Linked DNA regions of Kluyveromyces lactis. The protein of the gene in region 1 binds, or shares a complex with, the protein of each later gene. Links are inferred from orthologs where the notes say so. Each region holds a gene or a part of one and is shown in the gene's direction. Other genes may lie near its edges.

Region 1 (4,312 bases):
AAAATTGCCAGTATTGGCATACATGTCAGAAGATCTGTCACCTCACATGGTATTTGTATTAACGTTGACCCAGACTTGTCTTATATGAACAGTTTTACCATGTGCGGGCTGTCAGAAAAAAAAGCCACTTCCATAAGAGAACAAGTCCCTGATAGTTCTACCTCTGTTAATGATGTAGCAGTTGCATTCGTGAATCAATTAGCTAAACTTTTGGGCATTACCACAGTAGAGAGAATTCAACTTGATGATTTACCCATTTACACTGATTAGACGCATCACCCGTAGTCTGCAAGAAATGCTTAGATTAATTTTTACTTTAAGAATGATATTTATGATTAGTTTTACTTTGTTGCATATTTAAACACAGCAGCCAAAGCCCCTGCCGAGATAGAACTTAATAAAAGCAAGTTGGTTGTAGTACTGGGTAATTTACTACCTGTTGATACAGCTGGTAATTGTGCAGTACCATCGTCTTTCGTCTTTACCGGTTTTGACTTTGCTTGTTGTAATTGGGTATTTTTAAATATTTCGACCTCAAGACGTGTCTGTAATTCATCAACTTCACTTTTTAGCTGTTTGATCTTAGTATTTTTCAAGTCATTATTTTCCTTTAGGGAGTCATTAAGCTTCTTATTTTCTTGTTTTAATGCCTGTATTTCTTCATTATGGATGGTGGTTAGTTCTGCCTGTTGATTCGCAAGCTTCTGTTTAACGCTTTTCTGAAGTTTGACTAGTTGTGAGTCCGCTTGCTCCATTTTCATCTTTGATAGATATTCAAGCTTTGTAATATAATTAACGATGAAATTGTCAATCGATTTCAACTTTTCATATTCCAACTTTTCAAGTGTTAGATCTGTCACTAAGGTCTTGATGATATTAATCAAATTCGGACTTGTTCCGATAGAATTGTTTATAAATATTCCACTCAATATTTCCGTTTCAGACCCCAATACAGCATCTTCGAGGTCAAGATTATTTACATCTCCGAACATGGCGGCTTCGAACGCAGCTTTTTGAGCAGTTGTTATCGTGACCATTGGGTCTGGAATCCCATTGTTTGCAGGTGTACTCCTGAAATCTCGTTTATTTGATACTAGTAGTTTATCGTTTTCGCCAATCAACGGTATCACTGAAATGTCCTCCACTAATGCACTTATTTTACGATGTTCAAGCTTTGTGTCTATATCCGTCCCTAAATCTATCACATCCCCCACTTTGATTTCAACATCAGTTTGACCGATCCTACTACCATTCACGAAAGTACCATTAGATGATTTCAGATCACGTATACATATTTTACCAGTTTTAGCATCACACGATAACGATGCATGGTTTCTTGAAAGCACTCTAGAATCAAAATTTCCATTATCAGCTTTCACCTGTGGATCAGCTTTGCCGGAAAGTCCTCCGTTACTTCCAGAATTTGAAGCTCCAATGACAGGTCGTCCCAATTTTAGTCCACTGGGCTTGAATGGAACTACTAAGAATTTAGTCTCAAATGTGTTGTTCAACGATTTTAGAACCAAAACATGTGTGTATTTGTTTCTGGCCTGTGTTCTCTCATCTTCAGCGGAAGTCAGTTTATTAAGAGCGTCATTACTTGAATTCAAACAGTTGTCATTCGAAGAACCGTTGCTGCTTGAGTTGGAACGAGCTCTTCTTCCTTTTGTTTTTGATGTGCTTGTGTTATCGTTACTCTGGTTTGCTGAAAGAGGATCCAATCGACTTCCTTGTTTCTCAGTCATATTCACTGCTTATAAGAACCCAATTAAACCATATGCAAAAAAAGGTAGTGCAAAGTGCAAGTTCTTATTCGGCTTCTGATTCACTTCAATGGAGAGACTGCCTCGTAGCAAATACTGCTGAAGCTGCTTTACCACTTCTGTGAAGATAATACTAAAATCATGAAACTGAGAAAAGAATGGACTTAATTTCAATCACAATTATTTTAATTCACCACATAGAAAAGAGGTAAACAAACATTACGCAACATACACATGAAAACACAACACTTCACATAGATCGGCAGGATTGTAATTGGATAACGCACTGTGATAATTTGGCATTGTTATTTGAGCTGATTTGACACAATGGAAGAGGTACTTTCGGAGGGTGTAGATGCTTTAGCAGCATGTGTCGATGACATGGCGAAATGTTTAACCGTATCTAAGGTCACTACAGATAGAAGCACTAAACTTGCTATAAATATGCTACAAACTAAGAGGGTATTCCAGTTGGTATCAGAATATGATGTGCAGAGGGCCAGACTTGATTTGATGGAGGATATAGAACCATTGTTACAAAAACTATATAGTAAACTGGAAAAAGCTCTAACCAAATTGGAAAGGGAGCGGGCCACTCTATCACAAACATTCGAATTGAATAAACTACGATTCAACAATCAAGAAAGTAACCCCATCATAGATAATGTGAAATCGGATCCAGTTGTAATAGTATCCTCGACACATGAAGAATTGGAACGTCTCAAAGACTTAAAGAATCGTAAAGAAGAACTGATACAAAGAATACAGGAATTGCATGAAGAGAGATAAATAAGCATACGCCGACTCTCTATCTATCGCATTGTTAACTTAAATTTTGAATATTTACAAAGTGATTGCTGATTTTGTTTTCAAGCCCGTTCAACTTTGCACTGACACTAATCAATGTAGGATCGCTGGTGGTAATTGAAACTTTCTCGCATTCAGTGACAACTCGCCCGTTAAATGTCACACACCTAGCCAATAGATCGCTTGCTTGCGGAAGAGTGATTCTTTCAGTTGCTGAAAAACTGGATATCAAATTGTTTATCATAGATGTTTGTTCAACTTGCAAGCCTTCTTCCTTAAGGATCTCTGCGATTTTTCCATTTCTGTCTTGCTTCAGCCTGTCTCTGACTTTATCACTGAATGATAACCCAGTTTTCGAATCGATCTCACTCCAGGGTTTTTTAATGACTTTTGTCAAATTCCTAATGTCCAAGCAAATCTCGTTTTTGAATAGCACTAATTCCATATTGACCAAATGATGTGCTGATTCACAAATGTCATGAGATTCAGAGAAGTTGTCGTTTAAGAAGCTGTTGTTATTATGCGGAAAGACCAATTCTCGTGGAGGATTTTGTAATAATGTAATAGATTGTGTAAGTAACTCCAATATTTTCCCAATTTTATTGTGAAAAGTATGAATATCATCAAGTTTCATATCGTGTAATTCGGAAAGTTGCTGTAATTCGTCAAATAAGGACAATACGGATGATAAATTTGTAATTATGGCATTTATTTGAACTAAGGGAAATTGTTTATCAAGGTCCATCTTTAGAACTATTGGTTTACCCCTGCTAAAGTCTGGAAGCTTAATGATAGCCTGAAAATCCACTATAAATCCGGCCTGTCTAGTGATTGTCCCTTTAATCGATGTGCTGTCTGGCGCGGCACCTGATGTGTTAACGGAGACACTATTCCCATTGGTAAGAGGCATTCGAAATTTCTCAGGACTAGATAGTTGGTTTATGCATTTCTCAACATGGTCCATAACGTTAGGTAGCTCAGGCTTTATGATTTCTTTAATCAACCATGTCTGTTGTAACAAAGAGCTCTCCTCATATGTAGGAGCATTTTTATATGCCCCATCATTATATAATTCCGTAGTCATCTCGGATTTATGCAATTGAGAATTAATGTAGCAAAGCTCCCTTAGCGTGTAGATAGCAAGAGCCTTGCTAAGATGGGCGTTTTCCTTTGTCAACCTTTTTACTATTCTTTTGCCTTTTTCGTATGATGATTCTTCTGAATATTTCAAATTTAAACCTTTTCTTGAAGTTGATGCGACTCACCCACATATACTTTAACTAGAGATAAAGGAAGATCATTGAAAATTGTAAAGTGGTTGTAATTGAAATTGCTGGCGTGGATTAGGATCAAGGTTTACACAGATTCTAGATTTGACTCAATTGACGAGTTGTACTCCGGGACACAGCTTTTTATTATTAGGGAAAGTGTGCTATTAAACGCATCAGACGACGACCGCAAATGTTTACTGTAAGTAAGAAATCCTTACAAGCAAGTCGTAACGCTTTCAGTCCATTGAATAATAGCAAGAGAACAATCGTATTTACTGCAATAGCAGCTTTTGGAGACCTATTGATTGGGAAAGATGTTAGACTAGCAGATGCTATGGAGAAAGGGAATCTGCATAATAAAAATGGAGAGTATGAGCATAAGATGGAACAAAGGACTCAAGAAAGGTTAAATGCATTACGAAACACAAGACCGATAGAACCTAATTATGAGGGTCATGTTCCACTTTGGTG
Region 2 (3,991 bases), on another chromosome or scaffold:
GAACCCATTTAGTAGCTAACATCTTACCATCAATATCAAGTTGCTTGGCAATTTTCTCCAAATCAGCTAGCTTTCTATATAAGTCATGATGTTGAGGCTCGTTGGGATTATTAGATAAGATCGAAGTATCATGGCCTGAGGTAGCTTGTTCTACAAATGAACCGTTCCGTTGCCTAGAAAAGGAGTTCATGAATGAAGAAACAGACGAGGACCGTGACACATTCCTCTGTTGCTTTGAAGATGTCGGAGGGCCCTGAATGGGAGATACTATTGCGTTAGGTGTGTAGTTAGAATAGGATAAAGATTGATACTTGCATTCTTCTATTCTTTTCCTTAGGGATGTTAAATTGCGGAAAAATGCTGTGGTATCATTATCAGGAGGAATGACAACGTTATGCGATTCGTGATCTTGCGAAGTAGTTGGGGCGTCTTGTTTGAAACATGACTCGATCATTGAAATCCAAAGTTCCCAATCTTTTTCGTCACGAGCTTTCATGACCCAGATCTCCATGCCTGAGTCAATGATAATAAGTTTAGTTTGCTTATTTGCACTTATTGATGAAAGTGGGACAACAATCTCACCACGACACACAGGAGATTTAGAGTTGAGATAATATGAGAGAATCCCAAATTTTATATCGAGTTTAAAGAACCGTTTGGTAAAACCTTGTAGCTTCTTTCTCTTCTTTTTTAGTAAATATCCTTGGAATCCTTTACTGTTTTTCAAATCGTGATCTGTCGCGGATGTAGAACTTGGACTCAGTGGTTTTATTGGCACTGGAGAATTAGTGTTTGGTCCGTTAGATGTACCCACGTTGGAAATTGTGCTTGGAGTAGTCTGGCCTGGAGATGGCGCAAATGGATTGGAATTCGATTTTGCTAATGAGGACAAAGATGGATCCTTGAATGACGTTTGGCTATAATTCAAAGGTCGCTTGCCATTCGTCCCATTGGCACCAAAGCTTTCCTCTTGGTTTGAAATGACGGATTCCTGATCGTCATCCAAACCTTCCATTGCCGATGCACTAGGGTTGATACTCACCGAAAATAAACATTTTTTCTTAGTCTGCTTCGAAGTAGTATTGTCTAAAATGAACGCGTAATAACAACTCTCACAAGTTGATTCGAACGATTCGGCAACGGTATCGTTGTTAGAAATGGTCCCATACCAGGTCACCTTTTCCAGACCGCTTTGTGCTAACCTTGTTTGCAACGGCACGTTTTTGTCCTTTTCGTGATCTGCCAAGGCAACGTTAGGCTTGGCATCGGTTGAAATTCGAATTAACGGATTAGTATTACTATTCGAAGAAGCTTTTACACTCCCATGGTTTGTTTCACTCAAATCAGTCGTGGATGATCCACCAAACCGTCTGTATATACCAAACCCTATCGATTTTTTCAAAGGTTTCAACCGAAACGAAACTATATCACCTTGAGAAACTTTCTGCCAACGCACAACAAATGATTTATTTTGAACGTCAATAGTATCCATGTTTGATGCCGAAAAAAATTTAATAGTTACAATTGAATCACTCTCGAAACTAAGTAGACGTTCCAATCTACCTTTATCGGTCGGTTATTCGCTGAAAAATCAATTCTGAATAAGAGAGATTAACCAGGGGAAAAGATCAACAAACACCTGATAGGCACGCAGTAAGAATGGTAATTATTCACAGGTGAAATTTAACTGACAATATCCGTTACCAGCAATTATCACCAAATTGATATATGATGCCCGCCAAAAGCTCGAAACGCACACTAGAAGTCTGTTATAGATGAAATTTGGATCCTTGTTTACTTCAAATTAAAGGTTTAGTTTATTATACTCAAGCTTTTTTTTAATTCATTTTCACTGAGAAGCTGCTTTGGGGCAGGTACTAATTTTCATCATTTAAAAAAAAAAAAAAAAAGGTTTATAATAGCATCCAACATGTATTCAAATGCAAAACATCGGTCAAAAATGTAAACCACAAGGAAAACACAGGCACTAGAGGCTACAAAACTGGTGTATAACTATCCGTCATCAGTTATATTTGTGATACATACCATGGAAAACCCGTATGAGAAAGTTCAAAGCAATATTCTGGCTAGAATCATTGGCAATGTCGAAAGGTTGAACCAGAGTGTAGTGATACTAAACCAAGAGCTTCGAAGGGTAAACACCAAGAATAAGAATTTGGAACTGATGTCACAAATGTGTGAGAACTATAGAGAATCTGTTGATTTCCAGTTGCAGGCAACTTCCAAGAAACAGGACCCATTGTAAGGTCTCACATATATTCTAACGAGAAGAATTTATTAAAAAAAAAAAGCAGTTACTTAAGTGATGTAGTATGTACGTATATACATACGCCTTTTTATAGTCGGTTTCAGGACCGTACTGATTCTAATTTACAGATAATAATGGATTAATTTTTTTTGTTCATGTTCAGTGAGTTTTAACCGGTGCAATTTTGTCTGCGGATTGTGTTCCAACTTGTAGGGACCTTAGTTTGGCAAAAGGTTGTATCTCTTCTTCAAAGTAACTCTTTGTCTGGAGTATTTGTCATCTGGAGAGAATCTAGCAGGGTGAGCAGACTTTGTAATTTCATTATCCTCAGTCATCTTCTTCAAAGTATAGATTCTCTTGCCTTGGGCATCCAAAGTGTACATCAAATGCATAGTGGGTAGTGGGTAGAGTGTGATAGATGCTTTTGGTTGGAAGTGAAAAGGAACTAGATATATGGATAACAAGACACTTTCTTTCAAGCGATGAGCTATACCGATCAGTTAGTTAATGCTATGTTGAAAAACTGATTATATCTCTTTGAAAATTTAGCAGATGCACTTGATGGAAAAGAAATATTCCAGTTCGTATCATGTGATCTGATGATATATTCTCTAACGTAAGTAGCGATATGTGTTTTGATTATCTTTTTCTAGTCACGTGTAAAACGAAGGAGGCTGGATCGGTTCCAATGATCGATTGATTGATAAACTTTTGTAATCGGGTGTTCACGTGACCTGTGTGTATTTTATTTGTATTTTATTTGTATTACCCGGCCACTCTCCTATAAAAAAGGGGTCTCATTTCCACACATAGTTAAGGACCCTGCTTACTATGAGTGTTTTTATGACAGGAACTGAAGCTGGAACTGGAACTGGAACTTTCAAAGGAAAAATGAAAAAAGACGAAAACGAAATTTGAAATTGAAATAGAAATAGGAATAGGAATAGGAATAGGAACAGGAACAGACATTGACTATTAAAGCTTTAATTTGATATAGACATAGGGCTTGTCACTGATAAGAATAATATATTTTGGTCCTGTGTTGAAAACAGCGGAAGGTTGTATATCGTGTTGAAAACGAAATTAACAGTAATATAGGAGTTTCGGTTCGTAAGTTCTACGAGAAACTAAAGAGATCAGATAAATTTATACGATGTCCAAAGCATTTCTTCGTAGTGCAAAGAATTTAGTCAATGGGTACTCTCAGGCTCAGGTTCTCGTTAGAAGTGCCACTTCTAACGATAAGGACGGTCCGTCCGTTGATCAGTTGGAAGAGTTGGCTGAAAGGACATTTGATAACGTGGAATTTTTCGAGATCATGGATATGTTGGACAAGAGATTAAACGATAAAGGCCGGAACTGGAGACATGTCGCCAAGTCACTAACGTGTCTAGATTTCTTGGTGAGATGCGGATCAGAGAACTGTGTGTTCTGGTGTAAAGAGAACCTTTACATTATTAAGACGTTGCGTGAGTTTACACACACCGATGAGTTTACCGAGATCGATAACGGTGAGATTGTCAGAGTGAAGGCGAAAGAGTTGACGGCGTTATTACGGGACGAGGAGAGGTTGAAGGAGGAACGGATGATGAGGCTTAAGGGGAGGAAACGTGGTGGTAGGAAGAATAGACGTGACGATAATGAAGATGACGACGATTTGCAACGAGCTTTAGAGGAGTCGAGGATCACTGCGGAGGAAGAGGAGAGACGTCGTAAACAGTT

The links. Proteins that work in one complex are often made in the same cells at the same time.
Region 2: SPC19 (region 1) and DAD4 share a complex: the UniProt entries of both Saccharomyces cerevisiae proteins name them as parts of the DASH complex. The link is inferred for Kluyveromyces lactis from reciprocal best matches to the Saccharomyces cerevisiae genes SPC19 and DAD4.

Annotation. Positions count from the first base shown.
Region 1 is NC_006040.1:1,584,303-1,588,614, forward strand, and holds SPC19 (Spc19p), read left to right. Parts: upstream 1-2,090; coding exon 2,091-2,552; downstream 2,553-4,312. Other genes in the region: lipoyl(octanoyl) transferase LIP2, read left to right, coding at 1-270; KLLA0_D18799g (uncharacterized protein), read right to left, coding at 342-1,745; RAV2 (Rav2p), read right to left, coding at 2,587-3,654; ubiquinone biosynthesis protein COQ4, read left to right, coding at 4,032-4,312. UniProt on the Saccharomyces cerevisiae protein: Component of the DASH complex that connects microtubules with kinetochores and couples microtubule depolymerisation to chromosome movement; it is involved in retrieving kinetochores to the spindle poles before their re-orientation on the spindle in early mitosis and allows microtubule depolymerization to pull chromosomes apart and resist detachment during anaphase.
Region 2 is NC_006039.1:1,464,484-1,468,474, reverse strand, and holds DAD4 (Dad4p), read left to right. Parts: upstream 1-2,047; coding exon 2,048-2,266; downstream 2,267-3,991. Other genes in the region: oxysterol-binding protein related protein OSH3, read right to left, coding at 1-1,492; snoRNP complex protein NOP10, read right to left, coding at 2,488-2,661; ENT1 (epsin), read left to right, coding at 3,423-3,991. UniProt on the Saccharomyces cerevisiae protein: Component of the DASH complex that connects microtubules with kinetochores and couples microtubule depolymerisation to chromosome movement; it is involved in retrieving kinetochores to the spindle poles before their re-orientation on the spindle in early mitosis and allows microtubule depolymerization to pull chromosomes apart and resist detachment during anaphase.